Oryzias latipes: one gene and its partners. The protein of the gene in region 2 purifies or fractionates together with the protein of the main gene of each other region. This does not show direct contact. Links are inferred from orthologs where the notes say so. Each region holds a gene or a part of one and is shown on either strand. Other genes may lie near its edges. The genes, in order: tubgcp2, mitotic-spindle organizing protein 2, tubgcp5, tubgcp3 and tubgcp4.

What was found.
Region 1: the proteins of mitotic-spindle organizing protein 2 (region 2) and tubgcp2 purify together in Homo sapiens (affinity purification with mass spectrometry; 5 studies listed by BioGRID and IntAct, counting the BioPlex papers as one, with this or other methods). This does not show direct contact. The link is inferred for Oryzias latipes from reciprocal best matches to the Homo sapiens genes MZT2B and TUBGCP2.
Region 3: the proteins of mitotic-spindle organizing protein 2 (region 2) and tubgcp5 purify together in Homo sapiens (affinity purification with mass spectrometry; 3 studies listed by BioGRID and IntAct, counting the BioPlex papers as one, with this or other methods). This does not show direct contact. The link is inferred for Oryzias latipes from reciprocal best matches to the Homo sapiens genes MZT2B and TUBGCP5.
Region 4: the proteins of mitotic-spindle organizing protein 2 (region 2) and tubgcp3 purify together in Homo sapiens (affinity purification with mass spectrometry; 3 studies listed by BioGRID and IntAct, counting the BioPlex papers as one, with this or other methods). This does not show direct contact. The link is inferred for Oryzias latipes from reciprocal best matches to the Homo sapiens genes MZT2B and TUBGCP3.
Region 5: the proteins of mitotic-spindle organizing protein 2 (region 2) and tubgcp4 purify together in Homo sapiens (affinity purification with mass spectrometry; 3 studies listed by BioGRID and IntAct, counting the BioPlex papers as one, with this or other methods). This does not show direct contact. The link is inferred for Oryzias latipes from reciprocal best matches to the Homo sapiens genes MZT2B and TUBGCP4.

The regions. Positions count from the first base shown.
Region 1 is NC_019877.2:19,477,753-19,482,339, reverse strand, and holds the start of tubgcp2 (gamma-tubulin complex component 2), read right to left. Parts: upstream 3,060-4,587; 5' UTR 2,956-3,059; intron 2,627-2,955; 5' UTR 2,600-2,626; coding exon 2,450-2,599; intron 1,550-2,449; coding exon 1,421-1,549; intron 229-1,420; coding exon 52-228; intron 1-51. UniProt on the Homo sapiens protein: Component of the gamma-tubulin ring complex (gTuRC) which mediates microtubule nucleation.
Region 2 is NC_019870.2:3,061,466-3,065,930, reverse strand, and holds the start of mitotic-spindle organizing protein 2, read right to left. Parts: upstream 3,173-4,465; 5' UTR 2,957-3,172; coding exon 2,781-2,956; intron 2,564-2,780; coding exon 2,403-2,563; intron 1,020-2,402; coding exon 882-1,019; intron 42-881; coding exon 1-41. UniProt on the Homo sapiens protein: Required for the recruitment and the assembly of the gamma-tubulin ring complex (gTuRC) at the centrosome.
Region 3 is NC_019862.2:28,164,540-28,168,557, forward strand, and holds part of tubgcp5 (gamma-tubulin complex component 5), read right to left. Parts: intron 3,189-4,018; coding exon 3,000-3,188; intron 2,931-2,999; coding exon 2,748-2,930; intron 2,156-2,747; coding exon 2,071-2,155; intron 1,989-2,070; coding exon 1,868-1,988; intron 748-1,867; coding exon 596-747; intron 1-595. UniProt on the Homo sapiens protein: Component of the gamma-tubulin ring complex (gTuRC) which mediates microtubule nucleation.
Region 4 is NC_019860.2:22,843,946-22,848,558, reverse strand, and holds the start of tubgcp3 (gamma-tubulin complex component 3), read left to right. Parts: upstream 1-1,757; 5' UTR 1,758-1,885; coding exon 1,886-1,961; intron 1,962-2,997; coding exon 2,998-3,105; intron 3,106-4,068; coding exon 4,069-4,136; intron 4,137-4,465; coding exon 4,466-4,543; intron 4,544-4,613. UniProt on the Homo sapiens protein: Component of the gamma-tubulin ring complex (gTuRC) which mediates microtubule nucleation.
Region 5 is NC_019861.2:4,196,278-4,200,747, forward strand, and holds the start of tubgcp4 (gamma-tubulin complex component 4), read right to left. Parts: upstream 3,235-4,470; 5' UTR 3,148-3,234; coding exon 3,070-3,147; intron 2,618-3,069; coding exon 2,489-2,617; intron 1-2,488. Other genes in the region: protein CDKN2AIP homolog B-like, read left to right, coding at 3,767-4,020. UniProt on the Homo sapiens protein: Component of the gamma-tubulin ring complex (gTuRC) which mediates microtubule nucleation.

The DNA of each region.
Region 1 (4,587 bases), on a different chromosome or scaffold from region 2:
TCCATGTATACATATTTCAGGCATGCTGTAAGAAAATTGAAAACTCTTCACCAGTGGGGCGTTGGAGCTGGCCGTCACGTTGCCAAGCTTCTTCCGCAGCTCATCCAACTCCTGCATGGACATCTTGGCGCTGGACTGAGGGAGAGTGTAGCTGGTAGTTGTCGTTGAATTTGTGTTTGCTGACGACTCTGATCTTTCTTTGGCATTCTGTTGCAAAAACTGAAGAGTCTAAAAAGAGGGGAAAAAAAGAAAATAAAGTTCTTATTAAAGTCCCACTTTGATCATCTTTTGATCTATTATCAAAGTTTTCTCTGTGGCCTTTTCATTATGAATAGACAGTTTTTAGCCCAAACCAGAAACCTGCATCATTTTCTAGTACATAGTTTCTGCAGAGCTTTAGTAGTTCATTAGAAAATCTCCTCTGAGTTGTAGGCGGGACCATTGGCACAGAGCAACCCCACCCCTCTTCCCTTCCAGGTTGTGGAGCAGGGAGCTTGATCCTCTTCCAACATACGTCACAAAAAAGCTCTTAAACTGTCAGCTCATGATTTCCATCCATCCATCCATCTTCCTCCGCTTATCTGGGACCAGGTCGCGGGGGCAACAGTCTAAGCAAAGATGCCCAGACTCCCCTCGTTCCGCCCCAATGCAGCCCAACTTGATAAAGCCAACAGGACATCATCTGCAAAGAGCAGAGAGGTAAACCAGACCCCCTCTCGCCCCTGGCTGCCCCTGGAAATTCTCTCCATTCATTTCTGGGCGGCAGTTTAGTTCAGGCGGTAGAGCAGGTCGTCCAACAACCGAAGGATTGGGGGAATCGATCCTCGCTCTCCCCAGCCAGCTGTCGAGCCTGCAGCTCACCGCTCCCCCCAGAGGATGGGTCAAAATGCGGAGAAGAATTTCCCCATTATAGGATAAATAAAGTATCAATTAAATTTCAATAAAAAACTATGAAAAGACCCAGTGACTGATTCACCTGGAGCATCTTTATTTTTGAATGCATTCCCTTGTGTTGTCCTAAAAGACACTTTTTGACAGAGTCCAACATGCACCGGAAACAAGTCTGACTTACTGCCGGTTTTGTGAACCAAGCTCTTTCTCCGGTCATATAGAGACCGGACAGCCCTCATGATTTCCATAGATTTAAATAAAAAATACTCAGAAATGCAATGATAAAATTAATTTTCTTTATATATTTCCTCCATCAACAGAACATTTCCAGAAGAACATGTTAAAAACACCAAAACCACATTTTTAAATAGAGTGGGTCCTTAAGGAAAACCACATATTCAGACAGAAAAAAAGAGGTCATGTTACTGGGAGGATTTGCTTTAAAATGACCACTTTCACCTCCTAAAGAAATGTCATTTTGTATGAATGCAGACACCTAAACTTCAGCACAACAAATACGGTGCGTTACCTCTTTATCCTCACAGAGTTTGGAAAGCAGATACACCAAAGGGTCGAGATTTCGAACATTTTTAGACTTGAGCTCCTCGTATTTCTTCAAGAAATCCTCTGGTGTTTTAGAAAACTCCGCTAATTTGACCTAAGAGACAAAAGAAGTAATATCAGACATTGCAAATTATAAACAGTAAAACCACTACGACTCCTACTGTCTACACCTTTCTGTCTTTAGCAGTTGGCTACTCTTCCTTTGTAGCCACCTTTTTAATTTTATCTTTTAACATCCTTCAAATGGAAAAAATGTGTTTTAACTAATAAATCTTAAACTTTTAATAAGGATGTCTTGATTCACTTTCTCCATTACTCGGTTCAAAGTTTTTTGGGTTCGCCATATGATTTATACATTACAAAACAACAATACTAAAATCCATTTATGATTCAGAAAAATCCTTTTTTAAATTTGTTATTAAGCAAGTAACAACGAAGGAAAATCTTTCAATTGGGTTACACTAGTCTGGTGTTATGTAATAAAAATTAATATAATATAAATTTGTCACAAATTTAACACTTTGACTGTACTGGTATGTAGTAAGGCTGCACAATTCTTTCCCCCCAACAATTTGGTTCAGTGATGGAACATATGGTTTGTTTTTAGACTGACAGTTTGGGCATCCCTAATCCAAATATCTGAAATACTGGGCTGTCTGGCATTTGGTTTAAAAAATACTTCTTGAACAGTTTTAGAGTAAATAATCATTCTGTCAATAACATTTTTTTGTTTGTTTCCCAGCAAGTGCAGGTTTGTCTATATAAACATATTTTGAGGTTGTCATTTTTTCCCTTTTAATTATAATAATCATAAATAATATGATCTATATGCCCCCCCCCCCCTTTCTGGCCATCCAAGGTCGCCTCAAAAGATGAAAAACAAATCACAAAACAGCATTCATTAGGGCTTTTTTAATGTCATAAAACGAAAACCATGATAAGATTTGCATGACTATAGACTAGCCTGTAAATAAATACAGCATAAATGACCCACCTTGGCACTGTGAGCAGACACTGTGGTGGTGACGTACGGTGTCCTGTGCTTCTGTAGAAGATCTATGTAACCTTCTGCCCCATCACCTCCACGCAGGTGCAGCAGGCTGAGCAGCTCGTTCACGTCGTGGTGGATCCGGAACTCACTCATGGCTCAGTCAGTCAGTTGTCAGGAAGGCTGGGTTACAAAAACAGAGGAGAGCATCTTAGCTTCAGCGAACACAGCATCTCAGCAGGCATCAGCTCGTTCACACCGACAAACAATCGCCTATAGATTGGCTACGGAGATACAATTACTTTATATATATAATACTTAAAGTCTCTCTGTACTCTGATGCTGAGCCAAATGTTACTAGTAAACAGGCTAACTAGCCTGCAAACTGCAAATGCTAAATAGTATGCTAGCTAATCCAAACGCAAGTGCAAAATTTGCCAATATTTGAATTTCGGTCATTTCTGAATAAACCTTATCACGGGTAAAATACAACATTTCAACTATTTCTGTACCTGCAGGAGTCGTGAAAATGAGCTCACCAACGTTCAGTGAATCATGTACCAAAGGCGCCCAATGCTGCTCAAATTCCTCTTCTTCGTTTGTTGACACTTTACAAGGACATGACGTGAGTCTGCCCCCTACAGGCTAGGTATTCAAACGTATAGATAGATAGATAGATAGATAGATAGATAGATAGATAGATAGATAGATAGATAGATAGATAGATAGATAGATAGATAGATAGATAGATAGATAGATAGATAGATAGATAGATAGATAGATAGATAGATAGATAGATAGATAGATAGATAGATAGATAGATAGATAGATAGATAGATAGATAGATAGATAGATAGATAGATAGATAGATAGATGTGTGTGTGTATATCTATGTCTAAATCTATCTATATATAGATATATATCTGTATCTATATATAGATATATATCTATATCTATCAATCTATATATATATGGTAGATCTGAGGCTCAGATCTACCACACCAGACAAGACCCAAGGTGTAGCCTGTGCAAACAGCCTATACCTGAAACAATCCAGCACATAACTGCAGGGTGTAAGATGCTGGCAGGTAAAGCATACATGGAGCGCCACAATCAAGTGGCTGGAATAATATACAGGAACATGTGTGCAGAATATGAACTGGTAACCCCAAGGTCAAAATGGGAAACACCTCCGAAGGTGGTAGAGAATGAGAGGGCAAAGATCCTGTGGGACTTCCAGATCCAGACTGATAGTGGTGGATAAAGAACAGAGGAAACCTGTTGTGGTGGATGTGGCAGTACCAAGCGATGGGAACATCAGGAAGAAGGAACATGAGAAACTGGAGAAATACCAGGGACTCAGAGAAGAACTAGAGAAAGCATGGAAAGTGAAGGTGACAGTGGTGCCTGTGGTAATTGGAGCACTCGGGGCAGTAACCCCCAAGCTGGAGGAGTGGCTACAGATACCTGGAAACATCTCAGACCTGTCAGTCCAGAAAGGGCAGTGCTAGCAGAGAAACCACCCACGGAGGGTGAGAGGGTCGTTTTTTATTTTATTTTTTTGGCTGAGGGGGTTAAAAAACCATTGAAAATTATTTTTCTTAATTTCATTGAGAAAAAGAAACATCTTTATTTGTTTAAATGAGTCTAGAACGACAAAAATATATTTATTTCATTTATTTATTAGTTTATTTAACAGGGACAGTGCACATTAAAAGCATGGCTCCAATGCGCCAGAATTAGCCCAAAGGCTATTTTTCATCTGTAGTATTTGCAGAAATACAATTGTAAAATGAAGATGAGTAAATAACCGGGAGGTAGTTACTTTATGGTGTGTGACAAAACTTTTTTTAGGTTTTATATTGTAACCCATGGCATATTCTTAAGCAGCTGATGCTTTTATAAAAATAAAGAAAATGGGGGAAAAAATTAAACTTCCCAAGACTTCAAAGAGGTATTTGTTTAGCTTTTAAATTAAATCTGGGGAGGAGGAGTACAGGGATCTTGTGGATGAATTTGTGAGATGGTCTGGAGAAAACAACCTGCAGCTGAATGTGGAAAAGACCAGAGAGATGGTGATGGACTTCAGGAAGAAACCACCAGCTTCCCAGCCTCTCAGCATCCTTGGCAGAGATGTGGCAGAG
Region 2 (4,465 bases):
GGTCTTCTCATTGAAAGTCGCTCCGGATTTACTGCGAACAGCTGAAAATGCGACAAAAGATCGTGTTTATAAAAACAAACATCAACAAAGGGTCAAAAATATTCGGACCTACATGGCGTTTATGACGAACCAAACAACAGAGAAAAATGCAAAATGCATAAAACAAGAATTAGTCATCATTTAACATCAGTGTGCAGCAGAGCCTCCAACATCACTGCTGACTCGAGCGTTTCAGGAGGAAAAACTAAAATATTTAACTAAAACAGTCTAAGGTCAAAGCAAAAACCTGGTTTTAACTGCAACGGTTGACAAGGTAAACAGTTGAGACCAAACTAGCTGAAGAAATTGCAGAAGAATATTAATAAAAAAGTGGGACAAAAGCAGCAATAACTCCTAAAAATTATTATTAAAAAAATAATAAAGTAGCCATATAAATGTTGATATTGAATTTTAAGCATAGAAATAGTAAAACAAAAACAAAAATTAATGATTAAACTTCCAAGCTGCCAAATCGAGTTAACCATAAGTGTGAGAAACTTCCAGAAGCCAGAGAACGTGCTGAGGAACATGGGGAATAACCAGAAGAGCTTTTCCGTCCTGAACGAACACATCTACATTGATGTCAAATGAATGTATGCATCTGGACGTTGCCATGGAAACCACCACAAGTTACCAGTTTCTCACAGAGCAAAACTGTTCACACAGATTGTTTTTCTATTTGAAAACAGAGATGGAATGTTAACATAAAACACCTCTGCCCCCCCCTCTCTGCATGCATGCATGAACATGCATACGTGGTGGTGAAGGTGGTGGTGGGGGGGCACACACAAACACACGTATGAAGCGGAGGAAGGCTGGATGTGAGAGATGACAGAGGGGACCTTGAGCGTGAGAAGAGTTAGTGTCTTGGGGGCTGTACACCACGATCTTCGTGTTGGCTTTCTGGGCTCTGGGGCCGGACCCCGGGGGGGGCGCTGAAGGTGCTTTAGGGTTCTTTCCGGAAACCAAAGACTCTTCTTTGAGAGAGAAAAAAAAAAAGAGGGGGTGGGGGGGGCACGCACAAGAGAAAGAACAAAAACACGAAAGAATTGATGGGGGAAGAAGAGAAGTTAGAAACGGGAGAGATGCTACGTTCACATCAAGCTCAGCGACGTACGTTCAAGCGGACACTTCAATGCTGTCCATTTCCCAAGATGCATTGCGGCCGAAGCCGGACATTTTCTGACAACAATGGCGGACTGTGAAGCAAGACCCGGGGTTGGAAATCATTACAAGATTAAAAGTTGGATCAAACAGGCCAGGAACACTTTGAGCTCCGTTCCTGGTTCTCTACACCTTCTCTGTTCGGGACTCACGGTTGCTAGGCAACAGGACATTTGCCAATGTTCCGGCTGGAATCATCTACAGGCAAGACATAAACAAGACCCGGCCAACGTCGCCCGGGAAGGCCGCAGCCATCGAAGGATGCAGCCCAGGGATTTGGACACAGCCTATGTATGTCCACGTTCTGGACTTGCGTGTTTAAAACTCTCGCCACTGAGCGCACGTTGAAAGTTAAAGTAATTGAACTTTGACCCATCAGGGACTTGGATTTGGCAGTGGGGTATAGATAGCGTCCTCTTTAACTCACAGAAGTGTCAACCGTTTGAAAATTCATCATGAAGGAGAAGTGAATAATTGCAGTTTGTGGCCCGGGGGGAATTCTACGACACCAAGTCTTTCATGCATCAGGATGGAGCCGTGAAAGAGAAAGAGCCGGGGCGAGATCCACCAGATTCGCACCGCTTTGGGGGTTCAGGAGTTCACGCGGCAGTACCGGGCAGTGACGGTCCAGTGCGAACAGCGTCTGTGAACAGCGCGTTCAAGGACCCGCATTTCACATGCCCAAAAGTGAACGTCGACGTGAAGAGGACGGGGGGGGTGTTGGCAAGAAAGACGAGGCAGCGTGTGAAGAACAGCTTCAAAAAGAAAGGGGACATTTAGTAACTCAAGAAAAAAAAAAAAAGCTTAAAGCAGCAACAAGGAGAAAAGAACCTCAAGGGAACCTGTAACGTCCCCACCCGAGAGGATGACAGGGGTGGATTTTCCGCCTGGACCCCCACTCTGATACCACTGCCTTATTTGGTTTTCTTGTCAGCCTCTACCCCATGATGAACCTGAAACCCCAGGCAGGATGTGAGCAAATTTTAATGAAGGAGCATTAAATGTTTAGGCGGAGACAAGATTTTTCCAAATACAGCTTTGGATTATTTCACCAAAGCAACTGAAAGCTAAAAACATTTTCCTATTTTTGATCATTTTTATTATCCTGGATTAAATGTGCTTCATGATCATTCCGGCCTAATCCCATCAATTCATGAACGAGTAGACGTGGTCACGCCGCTGGTGTGACCTCCCCTCACCTCTGGGCTCTGGAGGTGCCGTGTTGGCGCTCGCCGCGTGGGAGGCGGTTGAGGACTCGCCGCCACAGCCGTCTGCCACTCTCTGACCCGCACACATCGCCTTCAGGGTCTGGAAAACTGCCTGAGGGGCCACGTTCATCTTCAGCAGGTCCACCATGATCCTAGGATGCAGGAAGACATGAAACTGGACCACATGTTCTTCAAAACTGAGGTGATGATGGGCAACAAAAGGCAGCGGTGCAAAAACGAAGAGAAGAATATGAGAATCAATGCAGCGAGGATGTATTCATTTTATTTAAAGAATCAACCGGGCTCCAAATATTTCAGGTAAGAGGAGTTTGTGGCCTGAGCGAGGTCAGGTCAGTCAGCCTTACTCACTTGAACACCTCCTGGTCCACCGTGATGCCTGCAGCCTGGGTCAGCTCGAACAGCTCACTTTCTTCTGCGGTGAGAACTTTCTTTTTCTTCACGGCGAATTTCTGCACGTTCGCTGTGACCACCAGCGCGGGGCTGTCAGGGGCGGCGGGCAGCGACGTTTGTGTTGGTTGAGACATTCCTGATAATTAATACGACGGCTTTATATTTTAAACAATAACAAAAAAAGAGAGAACAAATCGACGTCCTGCAGAAATTTAGCTAACATATAAACCCACGACAGGCAAAATGTTTGCATGAAGCATGACGTTTTAGTATAAAAACAAATGCGGGGGTTTGGAGACGAAAACACGAAGCTGCTTTGTGTTGAAGTAGGTCGCGCCGAAAACACGTCATCATCAAGAGACAGTAGTCTGTGGAACTGTTTTTTCAACAACTTTATTGTAATTTTTTTTAGCAGAATACAAAAAAACTAGTGAAAATTAAATTATATAAAAAACATAACATAATACAGACTTATAGCAAAAACGGTGGCAAAGAAAAACAAGTAACATAAATACTTAGGTGTAAAATAGGCTAAGTATGCTTTATGTAAATAGTTTTTAAGATTCACAAATGTTAATAATCTTATTGAAAAGGAGCCTGTTGTCATATTTTGTTCTTTTCTCAGTTTGAAGAGAAAAACCACCAAAAACATTGTTATGATAAGAAGCTAGTCTTGAAGAATGATGGGTAATGTAGTCTCTAGTAATAGTAGTATTCCATTTTACACATCCTCATAATCATTGTTAATTTGTTTTTGTACACCTTATATCTCCTCCTTATATCAGCTTAATCTCTTTTGTGCTTATAAATTCCTTCTATTACACTTTTATTTTTAAATTGAATTTTTATCCTTTTTACGGATGTTATAAAGTTCTTATTCTCATTTATGTTTATTTTGTATTTTTGTTGTTGAGGTAAAATTGTTTTTTAGGAGACAACTGTTTTACCTGTCCAGGTACGACAGATGATAAATAACCTTTTGGCTAACTTTGGTGAATTTGCAAAGATGCATTTTCATGTGCAAAAGGTTATCTTGTCAAATAAACTAATAAAATAAATAAATCCTTAATACACATTTTACATGCTGTATTATACAGGTGAAATTGATCCGATGTTAGAAGAACGAAAACGTTCATTATTAATCATGTATAATTTATGGTAATTAACATACAAGTCATGTATTATATTGTAACGATCCGGCCGGACCGTCACTTTAGTGGGGTAGCGAAAGCCTACTGCTCATGAAGAGGTTCTAATGGATAGCTGTCCGTGCCCCATACACCGTACGACACATTACAGTCTCAAGTTGGAAGAAACGTAGAGAGAGGCAATATTAGTTTTTATGCAACAAGCCTGTTTATTCTAGCACACCATACAGCCCAAACAGCACGGAGCCTAACTTCAGCTTCCAGCCCTCTGACTCAAGGTTTCACCTAAGCTCCCCACTTCCCATGAGCCTTAGGGGCTGAAGGCGGGGCTAACCCCCAGGTCGCTACAATATGTTAATGTATTAATTATGTTTAATTGGTTATTATTAAATATTTCATTTTTTTGTTTCTATTTTTATCCAATATTTTTACAATTTAAGAAAAGGAAAACAACGGACGCATTAGTGTTAATTGGAACCGGAAGTTGATTTCACA
Region 3 (4,018 bases), on a different chromosome or scaffold from region 2:
AATAGGCGAAATCATCGACTAAAATTGCAGAATTTCCGTATAAAATATACCAAATAATTATTAGAAAAACAGCAAATATAATAAAATGAATTAAAGGAGAGACATTCATTATTTTTTGGTTTGTTAAAAGACAAGATTTAAAAGTGCAAGCGTCAGCAGTAAAATTACCTAAACAAATAAAACTCGGGAATTTTAGGCGGAAAAAAAGAATGGAATTAATTCAGTTAGTCAATTTGATTTCCCTCTGCTTGCAGACAAACCTTCAGGGAAATTGCGAGGTTTTAGTTCGAGGCAGATATAAGTCGCACATCTGCTAAACTCCCTGGACAGATTTTGAGGATTTGAAAAGTAAAACCTTTTTAAACCATTTAAATATTTACTGCAAGTTTCCAAACACTTGGTATCTCTTTAAACCACTAGTGTACCACTGGAATGGAAAACCTAAACTACAATTTAGCTCTTTTTTTTTGTAAATTGTAGTTGTTGTTTTTTTAATAAATAAAAAACAACCTATACAATTCTTTTCAAATGTATTTTGATGCCATGTGTTTTAGAGTTAGCAGTGTCCGTGTGGAGACAGGAGCGGCCCTCTCACCCTGGTCATGATGTAGTTGTGGAGGCTGTTGACAAAGTGCATCAGTTTAACTCGCAGCAGGCACATCCTGTGAATTTGCTGGTTTAGTGGTTCCTTCGCGTTCATCTCCTCAGCTCCGGCTTCTTCCAGTTTTTTCGTGACATCTTGAAAATCTGTGAAAGTAAACAGATTTACTTACCGTCACACGCCAATCCGTTTTCCTCAGAGACAAATGACCTCAACTAGACAAAAGTCTAGAAATGCAGTGTTCCCTCGTTTTATCACAGCTCACCTTTCGTGTCTTGCGGATTTATTTTTAATTTTTTTTTAAACTGCATTGTTTTGCGGATTTTTTTCAATGTATATTTAACAGCACACTGTGTTCTGCATCCTGATTGGCTGTAGACCAGTGGTCCCTAACCACCGATCCGCGGCCCGGGACACTTGGCACCGGGAGGCACAGAAAGAAAAAATAATTTCCATGTTATTGTTTTTTTTCGAAAAAAGCGTTTTATTTTGAAAAGTGACCGGATTCTCTCTGTTACATCCGTCACACTTAACGCACGTCAAAGTCGCGACACCAAACATCACGTGATACACACCTTGCGTTGCACCTCAACACCCCCCCACCCACCCACCCACCGGTCCGCGGTAAACGTGCCTTGCGTTGTACCGGTCCGCGGTGACAAAAAGGTTGGGGACGACTGCTGTAGACCTTGTCAATCAATGTCCTCCATGCCGTGTCTCAGCATCCCAGAGTTACATCAATCTTTGATCTGGATCAGCTCATTGTTTTCATTCTATCATCCTGGAATTATATTTCTACAAAAGTTTGAACTTAGGAAAAAAAATGTTAAAGTTAGTGTGAAAATGTTCATGTCTGTCAAAGCAAAGTCTCTAAATTGTGTAGTGATGGGTTTTACATCCTTAAAACATCTGTAATGCTAGTTTGTGGATTTCCCCTTTCGCAGGTTATTTTTAGAAAGTAATTTGCGTGCTAAACGAGGGAACAGTGTTAAAAAGAAACAGGCTAGCAAGAGAAAATGTTAATAACAACAAGATACTTTATTTATCCCACGATTGGGAAATTTTTTCTCCGCATTTGAGCCATCCCCTGGGGGGAGCGGTGAGCTGCAGGCTGGCCGCGCTCAGGGGGCGACACCTGGCTGGAGAGTGCCGGGATCGACCCTCCAACCCTTCGGTCGATGGGCGACCTGCTTTACCGCCTGAGCTAAACTGCAGCCGCCTCATGAGATGTTCAGTAAACGAATCAGCTGTGATCTCGACTCTTACCACTGAAGCGAAGAGTGTCCAAACTGTATTTGGCCCATTTGATCTGCAGCAGGAGCAGAAACACCTGATTGTAGATCTTCTGACACTCGGAGCTGATCACGATGTCAACGGGCCAGGGAACCTGTGAGGATTGAAGCGTGCAAATGTCACCATGGCTGCAGCAGAAACACGGGTGACTTCGGTCCGTGCATTCATGTGCTTACCTTGTAACTCAGCGTAAGGACCTCTAAATTATTGACAGGATGCTTTTTCTTGGTGTGGTCAAGGGTCTCTAAAAAGACGGATAACCTACAGAAAAACAGAAACATCGTTCTTAGTGTTCACCTTTCACAAGTCCTGATCCCATCATCTTTTGATCTTTTTTAAAGCGTTCCCAGTGGTTCTTTAAGTTATGAATATGCCGTTTTCGGCAAAAATAGGGAATGTTGCCACAAAGCAACCCTGTCCCCACCTTCCCATCACCCATAACTGAGGGCTCTCTGCTTACGTACTCTCCTGCTAGCTCAGCCCCTCACACCCCCAAGCTAACATTACTGGCACAATAAAAATAGTGAGCAATATTGGAGCTATCCAGCTACACATGTTTGATCCAGATTCCAACTCAGATGAGGAAAACAATGACATTCATGGATCTATTTGTCTGCAAGTGGATGCATCAGAATGGAGCAGAGCAGGGAGCTTGTGGCTCGCCCAGTGTATTTTCTACGTCACAAACAAGCTCTATTTCCAACAATTTGAATATAACAATTATAAGTATCATTTTTTTAATCCATATATTCAGTCATCAGAAAAATGCTACAAGGTCAGGTTAAAAACACCAAAAACAAAACTATTATCATCAGATTGGGTCTTGAATTGCACCACTATGGCGTTGCAGTACCTGCTACTGTCCTCCAGGTTGCGCTGTCCAACCGCCTCCTGCAGCTGCACGTTGAGAAAAGAGGGCTGCTGCCAGCTTTCCTTCTCCTGCACTTTGTCAAAGATGGCCGTGTAAAAGTCGTACATTGTGTCTCCGGCTTCCAGCAAGAAGTAGTTTCTCATTGCTTGAAGGTATTCCAGCAGCCTGCAGATGGGAGGAAAAGGTGATCAGACGCTCCGCACAGGCGCTCTTTGACTTGAAAAGGTGGCTTACTTATAGTCTTTCTTCAGTGTTTTCATCAGGTTCCCACAGCACTCGATGTAGCGCCTCTCGATGTGGGGGTAGAGGCAGGAGCGCAGGGTGAGCTCGAACGACTGGCAGGTGACGGACTGAGAGGAGCGGTCCACGATGAAATCCTCGCCGGAGAAACGCTCCAGGAAGTCGCTCTGCTCCAAGTACAGCCTGAAGAGAGGAAAAGCACAGCGTCATTCAGAACTTCACACACAAAAAAGAGAGCAAATAAAAAAATGTACCAGTAAAAATCATGTTTAGATGAATATGCAAATAAAACACCTTCAACCGTCTAAACACTGAGATCTACAGAATCGTTTTTAGTTTAGACTTAAACAAAGTGAGTAAAACGTCAGAATATATGTATGCTGTTTTGAAAGGGTTTGAAATAACACCTGATCACATAATAGCTATGCTCAAAGTCTCTCACTACTCCCAAACCCCCACAGGACTATATGGTGCTGGAATATATGGTACCCTGGATTATAGACACTCCAGCTTATGGCAAACGCCCTATTTAGTGTAATAATTGGGGAACAGTGAGTGAATTATGATGCTAGGCAAAAAAAAAAGAAAAAAAACAAACAAACGCTGATTTTAAAAATATACTGTATTTTTCAGGGGATACGAAATGTTTTTTTCTGCATATTTATTTAGGATGTGACTTTTGCTTGCAACATATATGTGACTTTAAAAAAAAGGCTCATGTGTTTATTTCCCACTAACAACCACTAGGGGGCAATGTACGTGGATTGTGTGCATTTGCTACAGTGCCCCCTAGTGGCCGTTAGAGGCACTGTGGGTGAGCGTTTCAGTGTTTGCTGCCGACAGCAACACAGAAGAAGCGACAGCCTCAGCTGAGTTTTTCAAAAGCGACACAGATGAGGAAGAATTAAATGGATTTAGTGATTTCAAGAAATATAAAGAGTTTAGCCGATTTGTTAGCCTATTCTTGATGATATGTTATCTGAATAATAGTTTATATGTTGCGCTAATATATA
Region 4 (4,613 bases), on a different chromosome or scaffold from region 2:
CTTCTGAAGTTCTAGCAGCAGCGGCGGACCTGCGCTCTCCTTCACTGTCCACGCGGCTCTAAAGAAGCAGAAGCTGGCACCTTCCGAGGCGCGCGCGCGCAGCACCGACCTGATGCTCGACTCGAACCCAACTCCCACTAAGCCACTTGTGTCGGGAGGTTTTCTTTCATGTACGTCACACGGAGCCAGGTGGTGGCTCTGGCTTTGATGGACGCATGCGCTCTGGAGTCTTCGATGACTGATTGGATTGTGGCATCGAACAGGGGGGTAGGTGCGTCTACCTCTGGGGTATTTACCGGCCAGTGGCGCCTCTGAGGGGAGGGGAGGCAACTTGTGTGGACACCCAACTGCCCTTCCCACCCACGCATCAAAGGGGCGTGGCTTAACCGTAAACATTATTCTGAGAAATGCTCATGTCCAGTAAAGAAAAAGCAAATAAAAGCCGTTAGTTTTTTGGTTTTAGATTTTTTTTTTATTATAGAAAAAATAATAATGAATTTAAATTAAGTTTTTCACAATAAATCTACATTAAATACATGGCAAGCAAAAAGGAACATTTATAATATAATATAAAATAATATAATACTGGACACTCCACAATAAATTCAGATTATTTGGATAGAAACAAATTATTTTATTTATTTAATAAATGTGCAAACTGTATTTTTTTTCCCTTAAGTGTTGAAACTGTCCAAACATTTAAACAGCAAATGTAATTTCGGCTAAAATAAACCAGCTTTTCCATGAAGGACATTTTGGTGCACCGCCATCCTTAAATCTGATTTGTCGGAAGGAACTCTGTTGCTGCTAATGTGACTTCAAATGAATATTGGGGTGATGGTGGAAATTTTCTACATTAATTGTATGTAATAGATAGTTTCTTACAACAAATAATCAAATAATAAATAAAGAAAATATTTGCTAATTAATTCGTGTTTTCTGTTTTTTTTTTTAACTTTATTTGCATTTTTTATGATGTTTTTAATGTAAAAATAAGACAGTTGTGAGAAATTTTCAAATCCCTAATAACGGAAACGATGAACCGGTAGGAACAAACAAAAAAGGCCCTTGTTTCAATAGGGAAGTATTTTTTTCCATGGCGTGTCCGACACCGGGGACGCATTTCGGCGGGTAAATTGAACTGTCTCAATAAAGTTCTTTGTAATCAAAGCGGATGTTTCCTGTTAACTACTACACAATAAAACGCATCAAGACCTTTTCGAGACAAATTTTGTCATAAGATTGTTTTGGCACATTTAAAGTAACCATTTATTGGAATTTTCGCAGTCTTTTGCGATATGCATATAGCACAGCTTGATCTCGATAAACTTGCGATATATTGTGCAGGCCTATTGTCTACATTTTTTTGAGGTCTTCCACCACGTACTAGCCGTAAAATCTATTTTCTTTCTCTTTTTTTTGCACACATTGAAGGATAGCCTTACTGCAACCAAGAAAACATTTCATTTAAAAAATTGTGCAAAATAGTTATTTTCTACACAATAAAATACAATCATTTGTAGTTTTAATTATTTTTAACTATAATTTTAAATGCATGATTAAATGCAAATGCACCAAACACTCTACTGTTCATACTTTACCTATTATAAATATGCCTTTTAGAATTCAAGTATATAGTATATTAGTGAGGTTAATAACTGTCTTATTTGGAATCTTTTCTTTTATTTACTATTTTCTGTGCAATTCTGATAACTATGCTGAAGGCTCTTATTTTGAAGGGGGCAGGAAAAGGGTCACTTCAGATTCCGTCCTCCCCGCTACTTTGACTCGTAGTCGCTAAATGGCGTTGCTCATTGTGGGAGGCTGCGGTTAATAACTATTCCTTCCCTGCATTTGCGAATTGATCCCGTCTGTGGTGAAAACGATGGCGACGTTGGACCAGAAATCCCCCAACGTCCTCCTGCAGAGCCTGTGCTGCAGAATCACGGGGAAAAGCGAAGGTACGGGAGCCAGAGCTAGCATAGCCGCGACACCGCTACTTTGGCGAAGCTGCTTTGAAAACGACACTCTTTCAGGTTGAGGGTCAGATTGGCGGTTTAACTTGCTTCTTATTCATTTTAATGACTTTAAAATAACAGTTAGTGGGAACGGATTTATTCGGCACATGAAGTTGAAGCTTGACATTTATAAGTGACTAAATACAATCGTAAAGTCTCCCGCCGGCTAAACCCAGAGCGTTGCCGACGGAATTTGATCATCGTAAACCGGGTTTTCTGGCAATACATGTCAACAATTATTTGGTGATCCGCGTGGAATTTTTTGCTGAACTTTACTGCCAGCATTTGAAGGGGATCAAGCGAATCGTCTTAAAGGAATCCGTGGTTCGCAGGGAGCTCGGCCCGGGTTAGCCTGAATGTCAGGCTGCGGTCTTGATGCTGCAGCATCCCGCCTGACAGCTGCTGCGTTAAACCGCTATGCCGGGCTCGGGACCGCCGTTAGCTGGGCAGCGTTTCGGCAGCCCGTGCGGAACCACTGACTCCCGGCTGCAGGCCCCAGAAACGAGGCAAAAAAAATGTTAGGGCGAGGTTGTGAGGGGCTGCAAGCCAACGGGAGAGCGTGTAAACAGATGGATGATGGGAAGGGCGGCGGGGCTTACTTACTACTACGTGTCAACAGCCACAACACGGAGGCGAGTTTCAAATGAGCCTCTGCTGCTCTGCAACAACTGTGTCCTGGAAAACAACATGTTTTTAAACAGTTTTAAGGTCATAATCCTAACAAAATAAATAAAGAAAAAAACCAGGAAGGCTTTGAAAATAGATCAAAATATGACCAGAGTGAGACTTTAACAACTGAATTAAAAGCAGCATTGTCCAGTAATTCACAGTTACCGTTTTTAGTGACATAATTTGGTGAAAAAAATCAGAATTTCTTCCTTTTGTGTCCTAAAATGAAAACCATTGTTTTTGTTTGTTTGTTTGTTTTTTAAAGCATAAACTCTTTTGCTGATTTAATAAATATCTGTTTTTTGTGCAGCTGAAGTCGCCCACCAGTTTCAGTATGCCGTCCGAGTCATCGGCAACAACTACGCTCCCACTTTTGAGCGAGACGAGTTCCTGGTGTCGGAGAAGATCAAGAAGGAACGTGAGTGACCTTTGACCTCAGGAGGCTTTTTTTTTTTTTCTTCCTCTGCTGCATCTTTTCTGAATTTGGTCCCTTTAGCATCTGGCCTGTGCGGATAAACGTCAGACTCAGCAACGTTGAAAACCTTTATTGCCTCTCGGCAGCAAATATCTATTGACTTGCTTTGCAGTAGCGCTAGCGGGAAAACATTGATCTGAGCCTCGTCGCTCATCATCAAACTGAAATAGCACTTTCCAGGTTGCGGGGGCTGGACGTCTCCTGTGACTAATGGGATTTAAATAAGACTTCCAACCGAGGTTAACGTGCACCCCCCCTCTCTGTTACTGCAGACGACAGAATCCATCCAGGTATACTTTATTGATCCCAAACGGAATTATGATGGAGTTTGTTCCAGGAAGTCCAACAGAAAAGCCTCTTTAGTTGTGTTTGTCTGCAGCTCCAGGTGCCGGTCGGGATGCATTCAAACCTGGTTTTAGTTCGGGAAAAAATTAATTTCGTCCTTCGTCTTGCTTTCAACATTGTATATGTTTACACTTAGTAATATGCTTCTGTAAGAAAAAAATCTTATTGTAAAGTTTAATACTTGTCTTTAGTGTTTTTTCTAACGAACATATTTATTAAGAACATTTATTTAATTGAATTTTTATTTTATTTACAAAGTTGTATGTTTTTCTCATTTAAAAGTACCAATTTTTGTTGAATTAACACATTTATTTCATTTTATCAGTGCATGCTTTATAATATAGTTAACTTTTGACTGTAAGAGTTTGTCGGATTTGTTTTTATTTTACAAAAAAAACCAGAATTTAATTAAAAAGCTACGTTTCAGTTTTAATTTGTACTTCTATAAACTGAAACAAGCGTAAGGGTTTTTGATAGATGTGGACATGAAACCATCAGACGTTTGAGGCTGTGAAAGGAGCGTTGGATGGCGTCTAACTGTTGGTGTCGATGCTCCTGCAGTGGTGAAGCAGAGGAGGGAGGCGGACGCTGCTCTCTTCTCAGAGCTGCACCGAAAACTCCAGACTCAGGTGAGCGTTTTTCTACCCGCCAACAAGAATAAACCTCCAAAAACGACCCTGCTGGCTTCTGACGACACTATTTCAGCTGAGTTTGTAATACTAGATGAATAAATGAGGAAAAAACAAAATACGTGAAGACGAAAGGTTAAAAGTCCACATTTATTTGATTGTTGTCCATTTTTCTGTTTGTTTCTTGCCGTACTTTAATTTTAAAGCTATTGATGTTAGTAATTAATAAGCTATGATTTTTTTTTTTATTAAATTTGGTCAAAATTGAATCTTCTTTCATTTGATTGAAGGATGCTGGGCTTTTATTTTGACGGTTTTCCACCTTTCAGGGTGTTCTGAAGCACCGCTGGGCGGTTCTTTACCTGCTGCTGATTCTCTCTGAAGACCCCCGCAAACCATCCTCCAGGGTGAGCGCGCCCCCCCCCCACGACTCAAACACAATGTTTCTATCTTATTTCCTCTTCTGTCTTGTATAAT
Region 5 (4,470 bases), on a different chromosome or scaffold from region 2:
GACCAGAGACCAGAGCCTGAGACCAGAGCCTGAGACCAGAGCCTGAGACCAGAGCCTGAGACCAGAGACCAGAGCCTGAGACCAGAGCCTGAGACCAGAGCCTGAGACCAGAGCCTGAGACCAGAGCCTGAGCCCAGAGCCTGAGACCAGAGACCAGAGCCTGAGACCAGAGCCTGAGACCAGAGCCTGAGCCCAGAGCCTGAGCCCAGAGCCTGAGACCAGAGCCTGAGACCAGAGCCTGAGCCCAGAGCCTGAGACCAGAGCCTGAGACCAGAGCCTGAGACCAGAGCCTGAGCCCAGAGCCTGAGACCAGAGCCTGAGCCCAGAGCCCAGAGCCTGAGACCAGAGCCTGAGACCAGAGCCTGAGCCCAGAGCCTGAGACCAGAGCCCAGAGCCTGAGACCAGAGCCTGAGACCAGAGACCAGAGCCTGAGCCCAGAGCCTGAGACCAGAGCCTGAGCCCAGAGCCTGAGACCAGAGCCTGAGACCAGAGCCTGAGACCAGAGCCCAGAGCCTGAGACCAGAGACCAGAGCCTGAGACCAGAGACCAGAGCCTGAGCCCAGAGCCTGAGACCAGAGCCTGAGCCCAGAGCCTGAGACCAGAGCCTGAGACCAGAGCCTGAGACCAGAGCCTGAGACCAGAGCCTGAGCCCAGAGCCTGAGACCAGAGCCTGAGACCAGAGACCAGAGCCTGAGCCCAGAGCCTGAGACCAGAGCCTGAGCCCAGAGCCTGAGACCAGAGCCTGAGACCAGAGCCTGAGACCAGAGCCCAGAGCCTGAGACCAGAGACCAGAGCCTGAGACCAGAGACCAGAGCCTGAGCCCAGAGCCTGAGCCCAGAGCCTGAGACCAGAGCCTGAGACCAGAGCCTGAGACCTGAGACCAGAGTATACAAAACCAGACTCTGAGACCAGAGCCTGAGACCAGAGCCTGAGACCAGAGCCTGAGACCAGAGCCCAGAGCCTGAGACCAGAGACCAGAGCCTGAGACCAGAGACCAGAGCCTGAGCCCAGAGCCTGAGCCCAGAGCCTGAGCCCAGAGCCTGAGACCAGAGACCAGAGCCTGAGACCAGAGACCAGAGCCTGAGACCAGAGTATACAAAACCAGACTCTGAGACCAGAGCCTGAGACCAGAGCCTGAGCCCCGAGCCTGAGCCCCGAGCCTGAGCCCAGAGCCTGAGACCAGAGCCTGAGACCAGAGCCTGAGCCCAGAGCCTGAGACCAGAGACCAGAGCCTGAGACCAGAGACCAGAGCCTGAGACCAGAGCCTGAGACCAGAGCCTGAGACCAGAGCCTGAGACCAGAGACCAGAGCCTGAGACCAGAGCCTGAGACCAGAGCCTGAGACCAGAGCCTGAGCCCAGAGCCTGAGACCAGAGACCAGAGCCTGAGACCAGAGCCTGAGACCAGAGCCTGAGCCCAGAGCCTGAGCCCAGAGCCTGAGACCAGAGCCTGAGACCAGAGCCTGAGCCCAGAGCCTGAGACCAGAGCCTGAGACCAGAGCCTGAGACCAGAGCCTGAGCCCAGAGCCTGAGACCAGAGCCTGAGCCCAGAGCCCAGAGCCTGAGACCAGAGCCTGAGACCAGAGCCTGAGACCAGAGCCTGAGCCCAGAGCCTGAGACCAGAGCCCAGAGCCTGAGACCAGAGCCTGAGACCAGAGACCAGAGCCTGAGCCCAGAGCCTGAGACCAGAGCCTGAGCCCAGAGCCTGAGACCAGAGCCTGAGACCAGAGCCTGAGACCAGAGCCCAGAGCCTGAGACCAGAGACCAGAGCCTGAGACCAGAGACCAGAGCCTGAGCCCAGAGCCTGAGACCAGAGCCTGAGCCCAGAGCCTGAGACCAGAGCCTGAGACCAGAGCCTGAGACCTGAGACCAGAGTATACAAAACCAGACTCTGAGACCAGAGCCTGAGACCAGAGCCTGAGACCAGAGCCTGACACCAGAGACCAGAGCCTGAGACCAGAGCCTGAGCCCAGAGCCTGAGCCCAGAGCCTGAGCCCAGAGCCTGAGACCAGAGACCAGAGCCTGAGACCAGAGACCAGAGCCTGAGACCAGAGTATACAAAACCAGACTCTGAGACCAGAGCCTGAGACCAGAGCCTGAGCCCAGAGCCTGAGCCCAGAGCCTGAGACCAGAGCCTGAGACCAGAGCCTGAGACCAGAGCCTGAGACCAGAGCCTGAGACCAGAGACCAGAGCCTGAGACCAGAGACCAGAGCCTGAGACCAGAGACCAGAGCCTGAGACCAGAGCCTGAGACCAGAGCCTGAGACCAGAGCCTGAGACCAGAGTATACAAAACCAGAGCCTGAGACCAGAGGCTGAGCCCAGAGCCTGAGACCAGAGCCTGAGACCAGAGACCAGAGCCTGAGACCAGAGACCAGAGCCTGAGACCAGAGCCTGAGACCAGAGGCTGAGACCAGAGCCTGAGACCAGAGACCAGAGCCTGAGACCAGAGCCTGAGACCAGACTGACCTGCTGCTGAACACAGACTCACCTGCTGGTGGACATGTCCCGTGTGCTGCTCTATGAACTCTGTGAAGCGGATATAATCTGAGCCCAGTTTGCAGATCCGGTTCAGGACGCTGGCCTCGCTGGGGTGAAGAAAGGGCAGCTCCTGGGACACCTGCACATCAGCATTAATGTTTCATTCTGACAGAGACCGGCAGCTTTTCACATCCATACAGTTAACCAACTCCTGCACAACACAAGATTCTAACTTCACACAAAGCATGTAGTCATTTCATGAATCTGGATCAATGATCGGGACTGGGAATGAGCGGTATTTTAGAATGACTCTGATTAGCCGTAAATAATCTGTAGCAAAGAAACATGAAGATGTCAGCAGACGTGGTTCCCTAAGGAGATGCTTCCTTCCTCCATGATGGAGCTTCTGCTGCAGGGACCACCAGCTGCTGCACAGGAGGGAGGGGCTGCGGGCATGGGGAGGGAGTTCAGGGGTGGGGGGGTCCAGGTAGGGGGTCTGCGGTGCTCGATGCAGCATTTGACTGGTCTGCAGGTTGCGGCTAAAGGAATATAATGATCACGTTTCGAGTCGGACACGTGACTTCCGTTTACCTGCAGACCCGTCCTCTTGTTCCAGGTAAAGATGGTGCCGGGGTACCCGCTCAGCGCCAGTAAGAGCTCGTGAATCATTGTATTTACCCTACGACCCCGACACTGGGCTGGACCTCTTTCATTCGGCAAAACAAACCCGCCTTCCGGTCGAAGCCTACGTCATCAACATGAACGCATGCGCAGTACGTTATAGTTTTTGCGTGTTCTTATTTCTGGAAATAATATTAAAAGTAACGTAGGAATTAAACGTAAATCCGTAGCACATAATTGTTGGAAGTGTCATTTGAAATGATGAATAAATGTAATTAAATCAGACTAACGGGAAATTTAGTTTTTTGTTGTTGTTTTGGGAAATGTAGTTGAAGAAATGCTGTCGCGGGTCTGACGTCATCACCCGGAGGTACAGCAGCTAGCAGCGGGTTCAGAGTGGAGCAGTTCAGAGGCTCCGGGCCAAGTTTAAAGCTCGGTTTGACCCACATTTAGCCCGCTTCTAAACCGGAATTCAGAGGAGGAGGGTCGAGCTGAGCCGAGTTTAAACCAGTCAGGCGCGTTTTAGAGAAGAGTTCGTGTTTAACTCGCCAGCCGGGCGGAAAGTGTCCAAAGTCCGTGTCCATCCATGTAGGCCACCGGGAGCTCCCTCCGGTCTCACCTGGATCAGGTTTGCGAGGCTCTGAGCGGCGAGGGTTCGTGGACGTGGATGGCGGCGCAGAGGGGCGGAGACGACCCGGTCTCGGAGTACCTGCAGCAGAACCCGCATTTGGCGGGGTGGGTGGACTCTCTGAGGGGCTTCTGTGAGACCAGCAAGCAGTGGTCCGCGCGGAGGGAGTTCATCCTGCGGAACATGGAGGGGCAGGGGGTCCCCGCCGCGCAGCCCGGAGCCCACAGCCCCAGCCTGGACAGCCTGCTGTCCCTGTCCATGGTCTGGGCCAACCACGTCTTTCTGGGCTGCAGGTGCGACTCTCAAACGAACTTTGGCCAGGGCTGTCCCTGTCACCGGGGTCAGCAGTGACCCGTCGCCGGGGTCAGCGGTGACCCGCCAGGGGAAGCTGCAAGAAGTGGTCTGTTAACGTACCAACACTCTGACGAATGGAGTGGGTTCACATCGAGTAGATGAGCAGTGCTTAGATGATCTTTGGTGCTCAGAGTTTAGTTTGAGCTGCAGGAGTCAGTGTTGTCATGGAAACAGAGGTGGTACTCCATCATTTCATATTAACCCTTGTGCTATCTTAGATGACCCCCCCCCCCCCCCCAACATTGACGTGTTCTCCCTACCATGACAAAGGTGGATAAAGGTGGAAAGATTTCATGTAATCCATGGACACCAGTGAAGATCACAAATCATTGAAGAAAAAAGGTTCAGAACACTGTCTAGTGGGTCTAGATGACCCAACTCCCAACGTT